Saccharomyces cerevisiae S288C: one gene and its partners. The gene in region 1 interacts genetically with each later gene. Each region holds a gene or a part of one and is shown in the gene's direction. Other genes may lie near its edges.

Region 1 (3,080 bases):
CTCAAAATCTCTTTTCAAGATATCACCCAATGTTTCATATTGCAGCTGTCTCTGCAGAATGGCTGTATTGAAAGCTGGGGTCTGAGGCCCCAATTGTAACTTCGGCCAACCTTCGGCATGAAGATTATTTCTAATCAAGGAAACAATACAAGTGGAAAAGTCTGTTGATGAAGGTGATGAAGAAGCAGGATTTAAATTTTTGTAATTTAATTTTGCTACGTGTCGAATAAAAGAAAGAGTCAAAGATCTAAGTTTATACTCAGATGAATGCAATCCAATAGAGCAAATCAACGAAATACATTCTGCTTTGGTGGTGGCGAAGTGACTTCTGTTTAATATGGACAGGATTTTTTCTTGCAAGATAGCCTTGACCGGCGGTCTTCCATTTGCTGTGTTGCCGATGTACAGCGTCTGAAGAAAGGTGATGAACTCTTCGTTTTCATAAGGCATGGGAAACCGTTTCATGAACTGAGCCGCATCATCAGATAAATTTGTAGAATCCGTAGAGACAACGCACAAAAATTCCATCAGTTCAATCATCCTAGGTGACTGCTCAATAGTTTGGGTAGCCGCCATGCCACGGCAAACAAATTGAAAAATAGCCTTTTTGAACTTATTCAGCTGTTCTTTGTTGAAAGTAACGCCCGCATCATAAGTAAAGAATGCCACATCAGTTAGAGATAGGCCCGGACATGTGTAACCTCTCGACAGGGGCTGTTGAGAAACCTGGACTTGCTTTGAAGGTACCAGCAGAAAAAACCTGGTAAATTGGCGCATCAAAAACGAAAAACCGTCGTTGTCCAGTTGAAGGAACTGAACAAATTCTTCCTGCTCATGTGAAGACTCCTGGGGTGCAACCCATTCCAAAATAAGCTTCAAAAGGATGTGGAACATTCTGGCGGCTACTGTGCCTGTTAGACACGAGATGTTCGAAACGACTAACGGTAGCAACTGCTGTCTATCTTGCAAGGAAAGCCTATCTATGCCTTTAGACGCCAGTAGCAGACTGTAAAGGCGGACATTGGTCGAGTCTTGTTGAGCGGCTAAATTGGGTTCCTTTGCTTGGACAATAAGCGCCCTCACAGGAAGCTGAACCTGGGGCAGCGTATTTATCCTAGAAATGAGGTTTTTTAAGGCTGAAAATACTGCTGTTCTAACGGAGGCATGTGGAGAGGCGAGTTTTAGTAATAATGGAGGCAAAAAAGTCTGCAGATTAGTTTCGAACTTTTGAGGGGAATCTGCGATAGCCAGGCGCAATTCTGCCTTCTCCACGAGCTGTTTTTCTTTCGCTTCGTCAGAAGAAATGGACATAATGTTGTTCGTGGTGAAATAGAAACTTTTCTATAATTATTGTATTATCCAATCCTGCACAAAGACAAAGAGATCAGTTATCGAGAGCTTACCAGCTTCTTTATATCAGGAAGTACCTTTTTTTTGCCACCAAGAAAAGGCATATGGATATACCGGGTAACACATAAATACCAAAACTCTGGCGGCTAAACTGGTAAAACCTGATATATACAAAGATCAAATAAGTATAAAAGCTTTCAAAGATGCTTATGAAAAATCTCACGAGATTGGTAGTTACTGATCAGGCACAAACTCCGCAGCCAAAACAATATTTTGAAAATATGTGAGCATTCAGCAAGAGACCTTCAACTGCTCCGAATGTGCATTTCACAGCAATGCAACAAAAGTCAATGACACTTGCAAACCCAGTGTAAGACGCCTACTCTTGTTCAATCAGTTAGTTATCTTTGTTCAATAGTGTGGTTGGTAACCAAATTTTCTAGGCGTTGTTGAAAATAAAGAGAACGAAAAACAAAAAAAAAGAGATAAAAAGACAAGGAAAAAATAAACTAACTAGACACAGGGAAAAGCCCAATTCCAGACAAGCAACCACACCACATGAGCTCACAACCGTCTTTCGTCACCATAAGGGGCAAGGCCATTTCTCTAGAAACACAAACGGAGTCACTTCTTTCCAAGTACTCCACATTCGCGCAGACAACTAGTTCAGAACAAACTGGCCAAGAAAAGAAGATAGACAAGCAGTTGGAGGGAATCTTAGGCCAGAGACAGGATGTAATCGATTCATTAACACAAATCTGCGATTCTAACCCGGCAATCTCCGCCTCAAAGCTTTCCCAACTGCACCGCCACAAGGAGATCTTACAAGACCACTGGAAGAGCTTCCGCAATATCAGGTCCTCCATCCAGCAAGAGCGCAACAGACTAAACTTGTTATTCAGCGTGAAGAACGATATTGCTAATTCCACAACGGACGCGCCAGCTCCTATAGGGGATGCTGACGAGTACATTCAGAACGAAACAAGGCGAATCGATCAGTCCAACAACGTAGTCGACCGTCTCATCTCCCAAGCCTGGGAGACTCGGTCGCAGTTCCACTCGCAGAGCAACGTGCTGAACACGGCAAACAACAAGGTGTTGCAAACTTTACAAAGAATACCAGGTGTCAATCAGCTTATTATGAAGATTAACACGAGAAGGAAGAAAAACGCGTTTGTATTGGCCACGATAACCACCCTTTGTATACTGTTTTTGTTTTTCACATGGTAAATAACGACTTTTATTAAACAACGTATGTAAAAACATAACAAGAATCTACCCATACAGGCCATTTCGTAATTCTTCTCTTCTAATTGGAGTAAAACCATCAATTAAAGGGTGTGGAGTAGCATAGTGAGGGGCTGACTGCATTGACAAAAAAATTGAAAAAAAAAAAAGGAAAAGGAAAGGAAAAAAAGACAGCCAAGACTTTTAGAACGGATAAGGTGTAATAAAATGTGGGGGGATGCCTGTTCTCGAACCATATAAAATATACCATGTGGTTTGAGTTGTGGCCGGAACTATACAAATAGTTATATGTTTCCCTCTCTCTTCCGACTTGTAGTATTCTCCAAACGTTACATATTCCGATCAAGCCAGCGCCTTTACACTAGTTTAAAACAAGAACAGAGCCGTATGTCCAAAATAATGGAAGATTTACGAAGTGACTACGTCCCGCTTATCGCCAGTATTGATGTAGGAACGACCTCATCCAGATGCATTCTGTTCAA
Region 2 (5,562 bases), on another chromosome or scaffold:
AGGCCCTGCAATTCAAGAAGAATCAGATAATGAAATTGAAGATTTACTTATTCACAATTTCAATTCCAGATACTGTCATGAATGAAGAGCCGCCCCATCCATAGTTTTTCCTAGTTCAAGCATTAATATACCGGACCACTCTACATCTTCCGAAAGCCGGAAAATAAGAACAAAAAATAATAAAAAAAAGCACGTTTAATATAAAAAACATTTCATTGTATGAGTTGGATTCTTTTAATTTTATTTTAAAATACGGTTGCATTTTGCATAGTAATATCCAACCAATTATTTACTGAAATTTGAAATTTGATTAAAAAAGTCAAACCAAAAAAACTACGACAATACATGAAGCTCTGAATCTTCTAGCCTAGTCATTTTATATATATATATTCACCTCCTCTCGATACGTTCCATCATAAGTTAGTTTTGTTTTTCTCTTTCTCGCGATCCTAATTAAAAATTAAATAAAATAAATAAATACATATGTATATATATTCATATGTAGAAGATTATTGTTCTTATACATCAGTGTTTTGATTTATGGTAACCTATCCCAACCTTCTGGCTTATCTTTCTTCATAATGTCGAAGTAATGTCCGCCACATGAACCACTTCTAAACGTGAAATCGTTACCCTGGTCACAGTTACAATTATATTGGTTCCATATATCATCGTTTAGGGGACAGTTATTGTACTTGTCATAATGGAATCCTATATTTTCGAAAAAATGTATTTTATCCTTTGGCAACAGCATCGATAACCCAATTGTGTGGATGATGGAATCAGACCATTTCCAGTAGAAAATACCGCCCTCTTCGTCGATGTAATTAAAAAATTTCCTGTAAGCTGGCGATCTATAAAAGTTCAAATTACCAATTTCAAAATTTGATGTGAATTCACAGTTGTTAAAATCTTCAGAGTCCTTTTTTGTAATAAATGACTTGAAATTATTCTCGGAAATAAACTTTGGAAAATCCTTTGCAAATTTTTTCGTAACATCCCAAATCTTCTCATTGGCTTCCTTAGCTTCACTCATACTCAATGTGAAACCAAACACTTTGCCTTCATCTTGCATCCACCTAAAAAGGTCATGATCAATATCACAGTACAATTTAATACCAGGGTCTACTCTCCAGTACCAATCAAACTCATCCAGAACTGGATGCCTCCAAAAAAACCCTGCAAAATATCTAGCTTGATATCTTACAGCTCTAGAATCACCATCCGGTACATTTGCTAATGAAATTAGCGATTCTGCTGCTTTATTTTCATCAATCCATTCAGGGTATACCCATTCGTCTGCAGGAATTTCAGCAAATTTAATATTAATTAACTCAGGATCACCATTCATAGAATCAGTTATGGCTTGACGAATCATTTCTTGCTTCATTCCGTCAAGCTCCCCCTGACTAATAAAAACCCAAGGATAAGCAAAATTTTTGTTAAACTTCACCTGCACTTCATCAATAGATTGTAAGATTTGGGTCATGGAATCCCTTTCAGTAATTAGTGAGACAAAGCACGCCTTTGGTGGTGATCCTCTATGATTGATATACGATGGCACCATGAACCCTAGCGTCGTTTCATTACCACCATAAGATTTGATCTTTTCCTTAATGGCATTCACGGTGGCATTTCTAATGGCCTCTCCCTCTAAAGATTGCTTCAATTCGGCTTCTTCCTGTTCACTTTGTATACGCCTTTGTTCCTCTGCACTAATTTTTGCAATAGGTTGCAAAGATTTCGGAAGGTATGGTGTAACATACTGTTCAGACATCTGCTTTGTTTTTGGATGATTTATTGTCACCATTAGCGCAAGCACGAAAACAAACGAAATCAACAGAAAGCGTGCTATTTTTTTGCTCAGCAGTACGTGCATCTTACCTTATCTTATCTTCACTAAAGGGCACAAAAGGTTGGGTGAACGCTTAGTATCCCTCTAGTCTTGTATACTCGTACACATTATAAGTACATTTAACAAATCTCATCCACATTTCTCGAATAAATATCACATGTAACTTGAAGGTTATTTTTATATTTTTTTTTCCTGTGAAGGAACAACTCGTGTCTCACGAGAGCGCCACTTAAAAAACGAAAAGATAATCGGCGATGACTATATATGTATGTGATTGAGAATAAAAATATGGAAAGATAAAAGACCTAGTAACGTTGTATTTCAATAGTGAGGATAACATAAAGAAGTAAAAAGATCTTTGAAAATGTATGAAGTAATACAGAAAAGGAAAACAAAAATAATAAACGTTTTACAGAGTCCTGAACTCATGAGGCTCATAGAGGACCCATCAAATCTGGGTATTTCTTTACATTTTCCAGTAAGTTCACTGCTAAAAAGTAATAAGTGCACACCAATGCCTAAACTTTCTACGTATAGTTTGGCTAGTGGGGGATTTAAGGATTGGTGCGCGTGACATCCCTCTAGACGTTCCACCAGAGATTGATATCATCGATTTTTACTGGGATGTTATTTTATGCATGGAATCTCAATTCATATTAGATTACAATGTTCCGTCAAAAAATAAGGGGAACAATCAGAAGTCTGTTGCTAAGCTGTTGAAAAATAAGCTTGTAAACGATATGAAAACTACGTTAAAAAGACTAATTTATAATGAAAATACCAAGCAATATAAAAATAATAATAGCCACGATGGTTACAATTGGAGAAAACTAGGCTCGCAGTATTTCATACTGTATCTTCCCCTATTTACGCAGGAACTGATTTGGTGTAAACTTAATGAAAACTATTTCCATGTTGTATTACCATCTTTACTGAATAGTAGGAACGTTCATGATAACCACAGTACCTATATAAATAAAGATTGGTTACTTGCCCTTTTAGAGCTAACTTCCAACCTGAACCAAAACTTCAAATTCGAATACATGAAATTGAGATTGTATATTTTAAGAGATGATTTAATTAATAATGGTTTGGATCTTTTGAAAAATCTTAACTGGGTCGGTGGGAAACTGATTAAAAATGAAGATAGAGAAGTCTTGTTGAACTCGACCGATTTAGCTACGGATTCTATTTCTCATTTATTAGGTGATGAAAACTTTGTTATTTTAGAGTTTGAATGCTAAGCAGTTATATTCAGTTAGAAGCATATATCCCACCATTAAATAAGTTAACATACTACTGCATTTTTATTTTATGTTTAAGAGCAGATACGTCAATGTAGCTTGCATATGTACGTATCCTCCCCCACCTCCTATTTTCTACTTTGAACTTTATGGGAGTGTTAGTATAAGAAATATGTTTACACCTTTTTCAGACAAATGTAAACGGAAAATTAAAAAACGAATTCAGATCGATGTGTTAATCAAGTAGATGAAGGAGAATAAAGCATATAAAGCGCACCGCACACATGTTTCATTTAGTCAAGGGACTTTACAATAATTGGAATAAAAAGGAACAATATTCAATTCTAATATTAGGTCTAGACAATGCAGGCAAAACGACGTTCTTGGAGACATTGAAAAAGGAATACTCTCTGGCGTTCAAAGCCTTGGAAAAGATACAGCCTACGGTAGGACAAAATGTGGCGACAATACCCGTTGACAGTAAACAGATCTTGAAGTTTTGGGATGTAGGTGGTCAAGAATCACTGAGATCAATGTGGTCCGAATACTATTCCCTATGTCATGGTATAATTTTCATTGTGGATAGTTCAGATAGAGAACGATTAGACGAATGTTCCACGACCCTACAGTCAGTTGTAATGGATGAAGAAATTGAAGGTGTACCCATCTTGATGCTGGCCAATAAACAAGATAGACAAGATAGAATGGAAGTACAAGATATAAAAGAAGTATTTAATAAGATTGCGGAACATATAAGCGCTAGAGATAGTAGGGTTTTACCAATAAGCGCATTGACTGGAGAAGGTGTTAAAGACGCTATAGAATGGATGATTGTTAGACTAGAAAGGAATAAAAAGTCAAGACCACCGATTTATAAATGATAAAGAAGCACCAAAAGAAATAAAATGTGAATGGTTTATTCTCAAGCTCAGAAATTAGTTGTTGTAGCACTTTTTATTCGGCATTTTTTAATATACATGTGTAAATTATATATATATATATATGAATATATATCTTGTTTTGTTTATTTTCAACTAATAATCGCAACAATATTATCTTTCAATAACGCTATAGCTTCTGTATGCTTTTTGCTCAGTTGCTCAATGGTTCTCTTCCTCTATGTGATAAACCAAATAGTTTGGTAAGCCAAATACATCGTAGTTTAATCTCTTCGCCATCTTAGCAAAACCTTCTGTTTCAATCAAGTGATAAAATGGGAAATTAGGGAACATGGCACCGTCTCTGTGAACTTCTGCTTTGACCAAAGTACAGCCTCCACCAACACCATCCAGCGCCATCTCTTCACCTGGTACGCCATTAGCATCGTAGAAATGAGCCATTAATGGCCTATAAGTGGCAATTTCTGCATAACCCTCGACAATAATCTCGTCATCACCCATCTGAGAGGCTATTTCTAAACCGGTGTCACTTTCTTGCCAGTTGTTGAAATCGTATGGTCTGATTGATGGTTGCTTCTTCTCTTCATCGTAAAATCTTTGATAAATGTTTGCAGCTAAGATAGCTTTGTTGTGTTTGGTCATGTCTTGAATTAAAGATGGTGGTGTCTCTATAATATCGGCATCTAGCCACAGCACCCAAGAAGTGTGAGGTCCTATGGTGGAGAATAGTAATTCATTGCGCGCCAAAGCCATTGCTGCACGTCTTTCCTTTTGAACATCTAAAGCGTGTCTTTCCTTCTCCATCAACTTATCAAAACTCTGGGAATTCTGTCGCAAAATAGTAATTTTACTAAATCTTTGAGTTTTCTTGTCCGTTTGAACCTTTTTAATAGCATTCTCCAATTTCTTTAAGGCCAAGTCACCAGTGGCTGTTCTTGGTGTAATGAACCCCAATTCAATCAATTCCCGAGGGTAATTTAGCTGCAGCAAATTGTCCCAGTATTGTTGATGAAATGTTTGCATTGGAGTCAATATCAAAATATGCTCCTTATTGACAGCTGCTTCTGACGTAGAGTGCAATTTGTTCAAATCATAATGTGCAATATGACCTTCTGGGATAATATCTTCCACGTGATCGTTGAACAACCAGCCGCTTTTTTTCTTATAAGAGTACTTTGGCATTTTGTATTTCTTGGTGAAGGGAAAATAAAATGTGTTTTCCTTTTCGTGTGCCCATTTGTGTTGGGAAATGGACTGGCCATTAAGTCCCAACAGAGATTGATCTCTCTGGAAAAAAATTATATATATTAGAAATATGGCCAAAACAGGTAGAAAAATGTTAACCCACGGGTTCTTTCTTAGGCGGTACGATACAAGAGAAAGTGACATTGTTTCCTAACTTTTTATTCTAGCTCTTTTAAATTCTTCTGTTTGAAAAATACTAAAATTGATGCTATTCTCTTCTTACTTTCACAAAGTGCGGAAGGAAAAATAGGTTCAGAAATAACGGGTCCCAAGAGCGGCTAACAGAAAATAATAAAAGCTTTTCTACCAATTGAGAATC
Region 3 (7,685 bases), on another chromosome or scaffold:
GAATACAAAGAAATGTGCTTCTCCACGTGGATACGTACCGTTGTAAACTTTAATCAAGTACCAAAAAAACCAAACATATTCAGTCGATCTCTCAATGGGGAACAAAGAAAAGAGGTTCTTACCTTTTTTTCCTCCTTCCCTCAGAAAGACCACCTTCGTCCCTCCATAATAGGGTAGTTAGTCGCTAGGTGCGCTGGAAACTAACCATTGGTTCTCAAATGTGCCGACATAATTAGTTATAATTATGGTGTGAGAGTTGAAATATCCTTGAATAACAAAACAGAAAAAAGAAAAAACCCATTTGAATATAAAAATCATTGATGCAAAAGAAAGCCGTTAAATCTACAATGCCACGAAATTATTGTAATGTATGAAAAAAAGGAAGAGGGTAGCAATCCTAAAACAAAAACCCTAACAATACACATGATGCAACTGGAACGCATCAGTATTTGTAGGTTTTTATTTCGCGGATAGCGTTGCCATCAACGTCGACCTCGGTGGATTCACTACGGTAAATCTGGGTAGGTCCGTTACAGTCGAAAGGATGTTCTTTAGCATAGTCGAAGGCCTCGGAGATGGCCAATTTGACTTTTTCCAAAGTATCTCTGGTGACTTGATAGTGGAACGAGACTCTACCACCCATTAGCTTAACGTTGTACTTCAAACCCTTCTTAACAAGGACATCTGGGTCCATTCTAGCGGCCTTCAGGTTAATAAAGACAAAGTTGGTGTCTGCTGGAGACTCTAGCGGGATGCCCTTTGCCTCACAATATTCGGCTAATTCATGAGCCAAAGAGTGCGAGTACAGCAATTGGGACTTCCAATCGTTGTTGATGTTTACAAGAGCCATTCTAGCCATCATACCAGATTGTCTAATACCACCACCTTGTTGTTTTCTGAAATGGGTGGCCTTCTTGACAAACTTAAGGTTCCCAACCAAGACGGACCCAATAGGAGCACCCATAGACTTGGATAGACAGATGGAGATGGAGTCGAAGATTTCCCCATATTGCTTTAATGGCACGCCAGATTGTGCAGCGGCATTCCAGATTCTGGCACCGTCACAATGTAGTTTGAGACCATTTTCCATACACCAAGCTTTGATGCGGACCAGTTCTTCCAATGGATAAACAATACCGTGTAAAGTGTTTTCCAGAGAAATCAATCTGGTGGGGGCACCGTGAATATCACCGTCGTCTGGGACGTAGTGTGACTTGATGTCTTCCAAGGTCAAGTAGTCACCGTTGGAAGGAACCACAGGAACCACCATCGCTTGAGACAAGATCGCCAGTCCAGCGGCTTCGTGAGTGTAAACGTGAGCCCTGTAATCACATAGAATAGAGTATGGAGGTTGCATCAAGTGAGTTCTGATGGCAATCTGGTTGGACAAAGTCCCAGAGACACAGAACAAACCTGCTTCTTTGCCAGCCATGCGGGCAACGGTCTGTTCGAGCCTAACGGTGTCAACATCTTCACCGTAGACAGCGTCACCGATAGAGGCCTCTAAAGCGGCCTCCATCATCTCTGCAGTTGGAGTGGTGAATGTGTCTGACCGCAAGTCGTTAGCAGCGGTGATATATTTTGGAGGCAATTCGAATTCAGTCATTGTGTTTATGTTTGCGTTTGTGTGCGGGAGTAAAAGTGAGTGTAAGCCTAGGAAAGGAGGTGGTTACGAACTAGCCAGCGGAAACAATGTACGTATATGTATGTAAGTATTACTCTATACCAGACAGAACAAGATAGACGAGAAGGACACATGGAGGATTTGACAGGCAAGCTCAACACTTGCTTATATATATACACATATGTGCTATTGCAAATGCAAAAAGCGTATATCCAGTGAAGAAAAAGACGAAAAAAGACGAAGAAATAAAAAGAAAAACCGGTGAACGAATATGGCAAGTGAAAAAGTGCGCAATGAGTAATACAAAGGGCGAAGCAGCGGGAAAAAAGAAACGGCGCTGCTGCCCGGAAACCGGAAGCGAAGCTTTGTGGGGTACGGGTGCATGCTCGGCTTTTTCCAGATAGGGGAAGTGCCGTCGCCAAAAAGGCAAGGGTCCGTTTCGCGTGACATTTCATAGCGGGCCAAGCGTGGGTCACGTGCTGCACAGGCCTGCCGCTGGCATGATTTGTCAGCACATATACAACAAGAAGTATTGGTTGCGTTGAAGAAAAAAAGAATAGTAATAACAATTTGGGGCCGTGTGTAAAAAAAATAGGAAACAGCTACCCCGGCGTGCCGTGTGGCTCTCTGTGCGAAGGAAGGCCCTGTCGCCGCACATATTCGATGAATATCGATGACGACGACTACCTTCTGGTTGCATAGTTTATTAGTCTGTGCCTGTTCTTCGGCGAGTGAGTAGATGAAAGAAAGAATGAGTTAGAGAGAATTCTAGGCCAGGTTCGGCTTAGTTAAGCTTAGCTTACTTTGGGTTTACTTAGCGTGCTTTTTTTCTTCCGCGCTGAGACGGTGAGGAATGGAAGTGTAAAGAAGCGAACGAGGGAAAAAAAGTTGTGACCTAGGGGAAGGTTAAAATTGTCATCATCATCAGCGTGAGAAAGTCGAAACAATGAGCGGTAGTAGGGGCAATAGCAGCAATAGTAGCGTCAGTAATAATAGTAATAATAACAATAATAATGACGGGGGCGACGAGAGATTGCTGTTTCTAAGAAGCGTGGGCGAACGCAATGAAATTGGCTTTCCCTCTAGATTCAAGTCGGCGCATTACAAGAAACCGACAAGAAGACACAAATCAGCGAGGCAGTTGATCTCGGACGAAAACAAGCGGATCAACGCCTTGTTGACCAAGGCTAACAAAGCTGCAGAGAGTTCTACTGCTGCTAGGCGACTTGTGCCCAAAGCGACGTACTTTAGCGTGGAAGCGCCACCGTCTATCAGGCCTGCCAAGAAGTACTGCGATGTTACTGGGTTGAAGGGCTTCTACAAGTCGCCTACGAACAACATTCGGTATCACAACGCAGAAATCTATCAGTTAATCGTAAAGCCGATGGCCCCCGGCGTCGATCAGGAGTACTTAAAATTGAGAGGGGCCAACTTCGTTCTAAAATAGGCATTGTATATGTATGTATGTATTTTAGCTTGTAGACAACCTTTCACACTTACATAGTTTGTCGCTGGTCACGTGCGACAATGCAAAATAGTGTAGAGTAAAGCTAAAAAGGACAAGATAAAGTGAAAAAAAAATAATAAAAAAAAAAAAGGAATATTGTTAATGGAAAGCGTGTAAAGACACATTACGCTCCTACCTAGGACTACCAACACATGCATGGATGCCAGTCTCTGTAATAACCACGGTTTTAGCATGTCTGTGGCTCTCTTATAGGCTCTATAAGTTTCTCACTATTCCTGTGTCCAGCATCGTCTCCACTTTGAAGATCAAAACTCCACCGGCAACAAAAGTGTCTATCGACAAAATAGCCACGGATTCAGTGACCATTCATTGGGAGAACGAACCTGTAAAAGCGGAGGACAATGGCAGTGCGGATAGAAACTTCATTTCCCACTATTTGTTGTATCTGAATAACACACAATTGGCTATCTTCCCAAACAACCCAAACTCCCTTTACACATGCTGCTCCATCACGGGTCTCGAGGCGGAGACGCAGTACCAGTTAGATTTTATAACGATTAACAACAAGGGCTTTATCAATAAGCTACCCTCCATTTACTGTATGACGAAGGCGAGAGAGGCGAATGAAGCGTTAAAGACTAGAAAATGGAGAAGAAACACCATCACATCGTCCACAGCTATGCAGCCCAGAAACTCCAAGTCCGAACCCGCCCCGTTGCCCTCTCACTACTCCTCTGTTTCCCTGTCTACTTTCTCATCCAATATTACTAATAGCGCCACCAGCAATAATGGTTCAAATCTACCCGCTTACACATCTTTGACTACGTTGAAGGATTTGGATTCGTTTTCCATCGATGATCTGAAAAAGATACTGATTTGCGCCCAGGAGGACTTACACGATGTGTTGTCCCAACAAACTTCGCTTTTGCAAGATTTTCAAGAATCGAAGTTAGAATTAGAACTAGAACTGGATAACTTGAAAACACATTGGTCGCACGAAATTGACTTGCGGAAATCCTTGAAATCCAATATCAAGTCATTGGAGAATTCTAAACTATTGACCGATTTGAAAATCGAAAAATTGAACAAGAAAATCGACAAATCCAAGGAAAAAATATCGAAAATGCGCAATGATATGCAGAAATGGTCTCAGGAAGATACCGAGCTGTTGTCTAAGGATACCATAAAGGAGAAATATTTCAAATTGCTAAATGAATCCAATGCCTCTGTGGCCAATATCAACAAAGAAATTGAGTCTTTACAAAATGAAATTTCCAAGATGGAGGAGTCTAACAAGAGATTGAACGCCTCCAAAAAATCATTGATTACTTCCATAGTGGTGAATGCCAATGTGGAAAACGATAAACCTATTGCTAGCGGAGAATTGTCGGCTGTTTTGAAGAAGCTCAATGATTTTACTTTAGAAAAAAATGGATTTTTAAGTAATGCTGGTGAAGAGTTTCTATCCAAATTGAATGCAGACTCATCATTGATTAAAATGATTAAGCAAGAGCTAAGCATTGATCAAGAATTGGAGGCCAACTGGAAATTGCAGAGGTCAAATTTGTTGAAGAAAATTAGTGCTTTAGAAAACCAATTTAATGAAATGAGCCTTAATAATCGGAATTTGAAAACAAAATTAATGGTTCAACCATATAAGAATAACGGTGATTCGCTTGCTGCCACCAATTCGAATAATTCCGCGGAAAAAAACAGAAGTTCTGGATCGATTCAATTACCATTATCCAACAACATGTCAAGAACGGGGTCCATTGATTTAATATCGAATAATAACAAAAGTATTAACAACAGTAATGCTGATTCTGCTCCTCCGTTGAGGTTGCACAATCCAGTTTCGTACTCTCCTTCGAATGAACCCATACAACCTTCAAGCAGTCTATTGAGTCAATTGACACAGGACACCGATAATCGATCAATGCTCTCCAATCACATCTCATCGAACAACGAAAACAAGCAACAGCCTTCTTCATATTCACATGCTTTACCTACAACTGCTACTGCTAATGCAACAGCAACAGCAACAGCAACTAATGGTCACTCAAGGTCAAATTTATGGACCACCGCACAATTCGCTCAACCTTCGCATCAACAAGTATCTACAGAATTGGATCAAGCTTTTGAATACGATAATGCAAACCACTTAATCAGTGGTTTGCAAAATATGATCTACGACGAAACAGACTATCCTGATAACATAAGCAATTATTCCAAGGGTTTTACTACAGACGAACTTGACAATTACTGGACTAAGCAGCAACCCCAGGTGCGCAGCACAAATGAAAGTCTTTTCTCTACGACTGGAACACCTATGTCATCATATAAGGCTAACCCAGTAATATCTCCATATTCTAGTTCTCATTTGCGACAAACCTCCAACGCAACCAATACGAATCCTATGCATCCACAGAGTCTACTCGCCGCTACATTGAATGATCCTTCATTACAAAGTTTTGTACGCAGTGGTTCTTTCTACAGTGCTCCGCAACCTGCAAACTCCTTACAGAACAATATCAATGGCAATGAAACCGAGAACATTAGTCCAAGGATATCAAGTGACTTCAATTTATTGGTGCCAAACTTGAGCCCACGACTCTCAAACGATGTGCCCATTGTTCCAGGCAATAACACTACTTTAACACCTTCACACTCGAACATATTAACAATGAACCATCAACCAACGGCGGATAACATTACACGAAGATCTTTCCATGCCTCTTCACCACCTTTCAACTCCATATGGAATTCAAATACAAATCAACTTTCTCCTCCATTGGAGGAGCAGTATCACCTCGATGTGCCTGTGGGTCCAAAGGTTCCCGCTAAAGAACCAAGCCCTAAGCCTTCTCACAAGAGGAACCAAAGTAACAGCAGCATTTCTTCTGCATGGTCCAAGTTTAAGCACAAGTCTGCATCATCACCTGCTAATGCGGACACGGATATTCAAGATTCATCAACTCCATCAACTAGTCCAAGCGGTAGAAGAATGTCAAAACTGTTGTCCAAGAGCGGTATGAATAATCTATTTAACCCGCACAGTCACGACTCATGAACAATATTATAATACTTCCAGGTCGTGTATATATGTAGATATATAAATTATGAAACATAATATATGAAAGCAGTTTGAGCTTATTCTTAATCATCAATAGGGTAACGGTATTAATCTCATTTTTTCTTTTTTTTTTTCTTTTTATTTTGGCGTCTCGTCTCAATTTCATTTTTCCCATCTTTTTACAACTTCAATATGAAAAACATAACACATGAAAAATAACTGTCAACATTAATAATATTCCTTGCATAGTGCTTCGATTTTCCAAATATAAAAACAGTTTCTTTTACAAGCTTATTTAATTTTGGTTTTAAGGAGAAAGCACTAATAAAAAGGGCAAGGACTGCAATCAACAATCTTTATTGGCGAACAGTTAAGGGTCCTCTCGAGAAGAAACATTAAGACATCATCGCACAAAAAACATGGCGCCCATCTTTAGAAATTACCGGTTCGCTATCGGTGCTTTTGCCGTTATTATGCTCATTTTGTTGATTAAAACATCTTCCATCGGTCCACCTTCTATTGCACGTACAGTTACTCCTAATGCTAGTATTCCCAAAACTCCGGAGGACATCTCTATCTTGCCCGTCAATGATGAACCAGGTTACCTTCAAGATTCGAAGACTGAACAAAACTATCCTGAGCTTGCCGATGCTGTGAAGTCACAAACAAGTCAAACATGCAGCGAAGAACATAAGTATGTTATCATGATCGATGCCGGCTCTACCGGTTCCCGAGTACATATATACAAGTTTGACGTCTGTACTTCCCCACCTACATTACTTGATGAAAAATTCGACATGTTAGAGCCTGGTTTATCTTCTTTCGATACCGATTCCGTTGGTGCCGCTAACTCCCTTGACCCATTACTGAAAGTAGCAATGAACTATGTCCCTATTAAGGCAAGAAGTTGTACTCCCGTTGCGGTGAAAGCTACTGCAGGCCTAAGACTCTTGGGTGATGCCAAATCTTCAAAAATTTTGAGCGCTGTAAGGGATCATTTGGAGAAGGACTATCCTTTCCCAGTTGTCGAAGGTGATGGTGTTTCCATCATGGGCGGTGATGAAGAAGGTGTCTTCGCCTGGATTACTACAAACTACCTATTAGGTAATATCGGTGCTAATGGCCCCAAGTTACCTACTGCTGCCGTTTTTGACTTAGGCGGAGGGTCTACACAAATTGTTTTTGAGCCTACTTTCCCAATAAATGAAAAAATGGTCGATGGTGAGCATAAATTTGATTTGAAGTTTGGTGATGAAAATTACACCTTGTACCAATTTTCTCATCTAGGTTACGGTTTGAAGGAAGGAAGAAATAAAGTTAACTCTGTTCTTGTGGAAAATGCATTAAAAGACGGCAAAATATTGAAGGGTGATAACACTAAGACTCATCAATTGTCATCTCCATGCCTACCGCCTAAAGTTAATGCCACAAATGAAAAGGTTACATTAGAATCCAAGGAAACTTATACCATTGACTTTATAGGGCCGGACGAGCCAAGTGGTGCACAATGTAGATTTCTG
Region 4 (5,559 bases), on another chromosome or scaffold:
CATGTTTATTCTTCTATACGTTCGTGATACTGCACTTACGACTACCAGTAACATCAGAATAACCATAGAGCTTATGCTATCTTGAAATATATCATCGCCGTAAAGTATGATGTGTAGCGCATTAGTCTTCTGCATTCATATTATCAGTGGTATACCGTTTGGTATATGCTTTCCAATCATGAAGTGTTGGCTCTACTCTATATAAATTCGACATCCATTGATTTTCTCAATAAATGAGTTACCCAAGTAAGCTTTCCATTGATACAAGTGATCTACATTCTTGCGACGCCAAATTATAAAGCACTAAAAATCATATCATACCCAATTGCGGGCAGCACATGTATATATTATACACTACTTATAACTAACCTTCTTCATATATAACAATATGCCTGATAATACTAATGCATTTAAATCATATCATGAAAGAAAATTACATGGGTTTTATTGACATAATTGCATTTAGAATACATAAAATTCTAAAGAATTAATATATCCAAAGTATTAGACATAACCAAGAATAATAGTGAATAATTTTAGATTTTGTTACATATAATTCTGCTTGCCTATCTCTTCCACTCTTTTCAAAACGTTGCATGTAAGCGTTACTAATATTCCGCTTTATTTTGTTGCAATTCCTAATTTTTTCATTACATTATCTTGCGAGTACGGAAGCGATTAACGTTCTCCCAATAGAAGGAACAAACATAGATATTGAAGTTTTACTGCTTTTGCTTACCTGACCTTTTTCAAATTTAATTTTTTCCCGCTAATAAGACCATAAACTACCCCGAACCAAATTCTAAAAGATAGTCAGCTGGATTAGAGTTGTCATCTCCAAACATTAATTTTGCATTATCTTCGGCTTCAATCAAATCGCCTGATAAGAACTCCTTTAATTCTTCATGAATGTTTGTATGTGGATGACTCTCCATAGTGCCAGCATGATTGTGGTTACCGACCGAATCATATAACGGTGGCTCCCAATTGTGCAATTCAGCCTTACTATTTTGTTCATTCATCAAAGCATTTGGGACAGATCTAATATCTATAATTCTTTCCTCACTATTCTCGCTATTATTTTGCCCCGAACTGGCATGGTGGTTATTGGTAAAAGGAGATAATGCTGCGACAGAACTTTTCTTCTCTTCCAATTCTTTTATCTTCGCCAATAACGCCTTCTTTTTTCGTGCTTGTATTTCTAAAATTTCGGCCAGGTATTGTAAATATTCGACCGTTCTATCCAAAATGATACCCTTATTTGGTTTGATTTGTTTACCTAGGTCATCGTAATTCAATAAAGATGGTGGAACCAACTGGCCGAGTTCTTTTATCTTTTGCTTTATTAATTCTCTTCTTCTCCTTTCGACGGCATTATGAAACTCTCTTTTGCGCCTCAGTTTCTCATCAGAAGTTAACCCGCCTAAAATCTTTGGAACACTTCCAGGTCCTATATTTTCAGTCATATTGCTACTTATTGAAGTGTGTCTTGTTCTGGGTGTGTTTATGCTACCATGCCTAAAAGAAGATGAAAGGAAACTTCCTGCACGAAATGACGATGATGGTGATCTTACCTTTGGGGAATATGTGGAAGATACGGATGCTGGGCCCAAGCTTTGTGGATTATAAGAAAATGATGATGAATATGTGTTTGGTGTCATCATATCAGAATTGATGCTAGAAGATAAAGAGGAGCTCAAATCATCAGTTAAGTTATACATTGTGTCATCGGTGCCATGCTGAAATAAAAAGTCATGTGGTAACTCAGCTTTTAAGCCTTCTTGTTGCTGTAATGGAGTATTCATTGCTCTATCCACAGGTGAGTCGTAAGCCATAGAATAAGATGATCTCAAGGGACCCTGCCCTATGGAAGATATGGAATTTTGAGTGACAGGTCTACCGCCTTGGCTTGTTCTAAACATATCATCCAGGTAAGACGATTGCGATTCTGCTTCCTCATATATGGTCGAAGCTGTAGGAGTTTGTGAATTGGACCTCGCTTGACTGCCCATTAAGTTATTATTATCGTTAGAGTTGTGCGTATTGATGTATGAGAGTTTTTCATGCTGTTGGGCAGGAGTCTCACCACCTGGGTAGGCACTTCCGTGTATCTTGTAATCATCATTGTGGTGTGGAGTGGGTGTCACTAACGAAAAATCTAAAGTTTCCTGGAGGACTTTTGTCTGGTTCATTAATTCGTCCAGTAGACGTTGGTTCTCAGCCTCACTTTCGTTATTGTTCATCATTCTTCACTTATTTAAGAAGTAGGTTCGCCTGACAAAAAATAAGAGTATTCTATTAAAGGATACTTGTCAACTAAGTAATGTGAATGCAGTAATGTCGTTTTTGTTATCTTATATATGCTCACGTAAGACAGAAATTCGGATTGTGAAAAATTCCTTGATGATTCCGTGCAGCCTCTAGCCAAAATAGCAACTGCGAGTAAAAAATAATGTACTAACCTGCAGTAATATTGGAGATCCTACTGTCCGGACCGAGTAGTACAATTGTTAGTTTCTGTTGCTCATAAGAAGGCTTTTCTAATCACCATGGCTTTATTATTTCAAAAGTAACTTGCGAAGAGTCACATCCCGCGGAACGGCCCGCAATCGTGACCCGGCAAAAGGCGATTGTAATGAAGAGGGAGTATTGGTCAAGACTTGTACTATACTGAAATAGGAAGAAGATTGAATAAATTTGCATTCTAATTGCGTTCGGTAGTTTAGAGTAGGACTTAGATTACCTGTATTGTCTGCAGTTGCGTTTTTTTTTTTTGCTGGTAAAAAAAAAGAACAAGTGTGGAGAATATGAGCGAGGAACCACCTTCTGACCAGGTCAATAGTCTCCGTGACTCATTGAATCGATGGAATCAAACAAGACAGCAGAACTCGCAGGGTTTTAATGAATCTGCGAAGACATTGTTCTCAAGCTGGGCGGATTCTCTCAATACCAGGGCCCAGGATATATATCAGACGTTGCCTGTATCTAGACAGGACTTGGTGCAAGACCAGGAGCCGTCGTGGTTCCAATTGTCAAGAACGGAAAGAATGGTACTTTTTGTCTGTTTTCTTTTGGGTGCAACAGCCTGTTTCACTCTTTGTACTTTCCTTTTCCCCGTTCTAGCCGCTAAACCAAGAAAGTTTGGTTTACTATGGACAATGGGGTCCCTACTATTTGTTCTTGCGTTTGGGGTACTTATGGGACCACTCGCGTACTTAAAACATTTGACTGCAAGGGAAAGGCTGCCTTTTTCGATGTTCTTTTTCGCCACATGCTTCATGACGATTTATTTCGCAGCCTTTTCCAAGAACACGGTGCTGACTATTACATGTGCTCTTCTTGAATTAGTTGCCGTCATTTATTATGCTATTTCATATTTCCCATTCGGTGCAACAGGTTTGAGGATGTTAAGCTCTGCTGGTGTCAATTCGGCAAGAGGTGTTCTGCGCATCTGAATTATCATTCATAGTGCATATTGAATTGATTAGTTGAAGAAGAAAAATAATGTTTATGTTATAAGAAACAATAATAAAGAGATTTATAACCTAACCTAATTAAATAGCATGTAGTCAACAAAAAGGGAGTAAAACATGCAGTGGCTCTATATATATAATTATCGTAGAATAATTCAAAAAAAAATAAAAAACGAAAAAATTCATTCTTCATCACTCATCAAAGGCACTATTTCGTCATAACGCGGAGGCTCGTTACCATGAGAGAGTAGCGAATCTGCGGAGCTCGAACTTACTATTCCTTCTTGTTCTTCATCATCTTTTACATTCGCTAAAGTGTAACCCTTTTTGAAAAATTCGTTCTGTTTGTCCTTAGAGTTTTCAGTGGTAGCGTTTGGAATCCTCACAGTACCATTTGCTTGTGATAAGCCATTTGTTGGTGATGAATTGTGAGATCTATTGACGGGCGATGGAGTGCTCAATAATTTATCGAGATTATTGAATCTTGACCTGTCATTCACTGACGTTGCTCTTGCTCTAGCAACACCTTGGCCACTATTGCCCGAAACAAATGCGGAATTCGAAATACTGCCGTTCATGGCATTGGCATTTGAAATACTGTTCCGATTAACATTTGGCACACCGGCATCATCGCTGTATCCGGATGGCCCACTAACTGACGTAGTTCTTGATAAGTTCAATTGTTGAATAGATAGTAAATCAGGGTCATACGAGGCCATGATATTAGGTGATCCCATCGGTGAGACAATGGGAGAAGCTGGAACGGATATGGCTTCTTCAAAAGTTGGCGGAGGTGGACATGTGTTACCAAAAAAGTCGCTGTTCATACTTAGAGGAACCTGGTTGCCTTTGCCTTCCATTGTGGCCATATCATAAGTGGGTAACTCCATATTACCACTGTTGCACTGTTCAGACACCAGGAATATGGGCGTATCGATTAGAACCTCATAATGTCTTAATTTGGACGGACACTCAGGATCAGGTTTACTGATTCGTAGCATAATTTCCAGCTTATGTCTACAGTAAACATTACTGAAGTGTAAACTATCCAAGTACAAGCCTCTTTTCGGTGTGTTTAATCTGGTATGTGTTTTCACGGGCAAACCAGAATTGGATTTGATTATTGTTTGATGGAATTTTGGATCATAAACAGGTTTTTCATTTTCTTCATGACTTTTCGAGCCTTTATGACCGGATAAAAAGCCTATTACACTGGGACGACGGTGTGAGGGTCCATTGGCTACGGCATGTTCGGGATTGGGGATGCTCGTGTATGCATCGATACCATAAGGTGGTATTATCTTTGCGGTTCTTTTATCCAAATCTTCGTATTTGGGGAACTTCAATTTTGTTTCAATAATTATTGGTTCCGTTATACCGAGCCTTTCTTTCGGATTGCCTTTTGAATCGCTGTCGTCATCAAAAGGACTATAAGATAAGAGATTGTCATTGAATGAATTTTCAACAATTTCCTCCCTTAGAGCTCTCGTGCCCTTCTCCTTAGTTCTGATTTCAAATAATGATACACTTCTTTCCTTTCTTCTCTTGGAGGCGAAATCTAAATAATACGGATTATAAGGGTCTTTAGCAACGGGATCTGTTTGATCATACTCATATTCATAACCTTTACTAACAAATGTGACTCTTTCAGTAATACTGACATGAATACGTTTAACACAAACGTTTTTGCATATCGGTGCCAATTTTATCTTGATTGGGACTTCACTGTTTAGTGAAACGTATTTCTGAGCAAAGGAAATCTCGTATGACAAAGAATCTGTCCAAACCCTATTAATATAGATTGGTTTATTCGCAGTGGATACGGCAACGGGCGGTGGAGTTCTAATAACTTTTATTGGATACTCTGCGAAAATGTCCTCTTCTCCTGATTCTTCATTTTTCAGTTGATGTGAGCTCATGTGTAGATGATTTTTAACTTTACTAAACAAAGTGTTGCTTATCCTCCTATGGGCCTGAGCGGATTCTGTTTCGGTAAGTTTTAATGAAGATGTAGTGGAGCTTAGTGATGAAGAAGAGTCTGGCGACACAATAGGTTGCGGAGAGTTTGAATCTTGACGATAGAAAC

Evidence for each region.
Region 2: mutations in GOS1 (region 1) and ARL3 together harm fitness more than expected from each alone (negative genetic interaction), as found in Saccharomyces cerevisiae (4 studies listed by BioGRID, with this or other methods).
Region 3: mutations in GOS1 (region 1) and GTA1 together harm fitness more than expected from each alone (negative genetic interaction), as found in Saccharomyces cerevisiae (3 studies listed by BioGRID).
Region 4: mutations in GOS1 (region 1) and SFT2 together harm fitness more than expected from each alone (negative genetic interaction), as found in Saccharomyces cerevisiae (3 studies listed by BioGRID).

Annotation. Positions count from the first base shown.
Region 1 is NC_001140.6:38,315-41,394, reverse strand, and holds GOS1 (Gos1p), read left to right. Parts: upstream 1-1,908; coding exon 1,909-2,580; downstream 2,581-3,080. Other genes in the region: ECM29 (Ecm29p), read right to left, coding at 1-1,311; GUT1 (glycerol kinase), read left to right, coding at 2,887-3,080. UniProt on the Saccharomyces cerevisiae protein: Involved in transport from the ER to the Golgi apparatus as well as in intra-Golgi transport. It belongs to a super-family of proteins called t-SNAREs or soluble NSF (N-ethylmaleimide-sensitive factor) attachment protein receptor.
Region 2 is NC_001148.4:456,580-462,141, forward strand, and holds ARL3 (Arf family GTPase ARL3), read left to right. Parts: upstream 1-3,383; coding exon 3,384-3,980; downstream 3,981-5,562. Other genes in the region: LEE1 (Lee1p), read left to right, coding at 1-85; KTR6 (putative mannosyltransferase), read right to left, coding at 539-1,879; mannosyltransferase complex subunit MNN9, read right to left, coding at 4,200-5,387. UniProt on the Saccharomyces cerevisiae protein: Involved in the targeting of ARL1 to the Golgi. Can bind and hydrolyze GTP.
Region 3 is NC_001137.3:67,187-74,871, forward strand, and holds GTA1 (Gta1p), read left to right. Parts: upstream 1-3,291; coding exon 3,292-6,162; downstream 6,163-7,685. Other genes in the region: threonine aldolase GLY1, read right to left, coding at 443-1,606; IES6 (Ies6p), read left to right, coding at 2,571-3,071; GDA1 (guanosine diphosphatase), read left to right, coding at 6,585-7,685.
Region 4 is NC_001134.8:21,291-26,849, forward strand, and holds SFT2 (Sft2p), read left to right. Parts: upstream 1-2,807; coding exon 2,808-3,455; downstream 3,456-5,559. Other genes in the region: SEA4 (Sea4p), read right to left, coding at 1-3; RTG3 (Rtg3p), read right to left, coding at 786-2,246; ECM21 (Ecm21p), read right to left, coding at 3,656-5,559. UniProt on the Saccharomyces cerevisiae protein: Nonessential protein required for the fusion of transport vesicles derived from the endocytic pathway with the Golgi complex. Can be partially replaced by GOT1.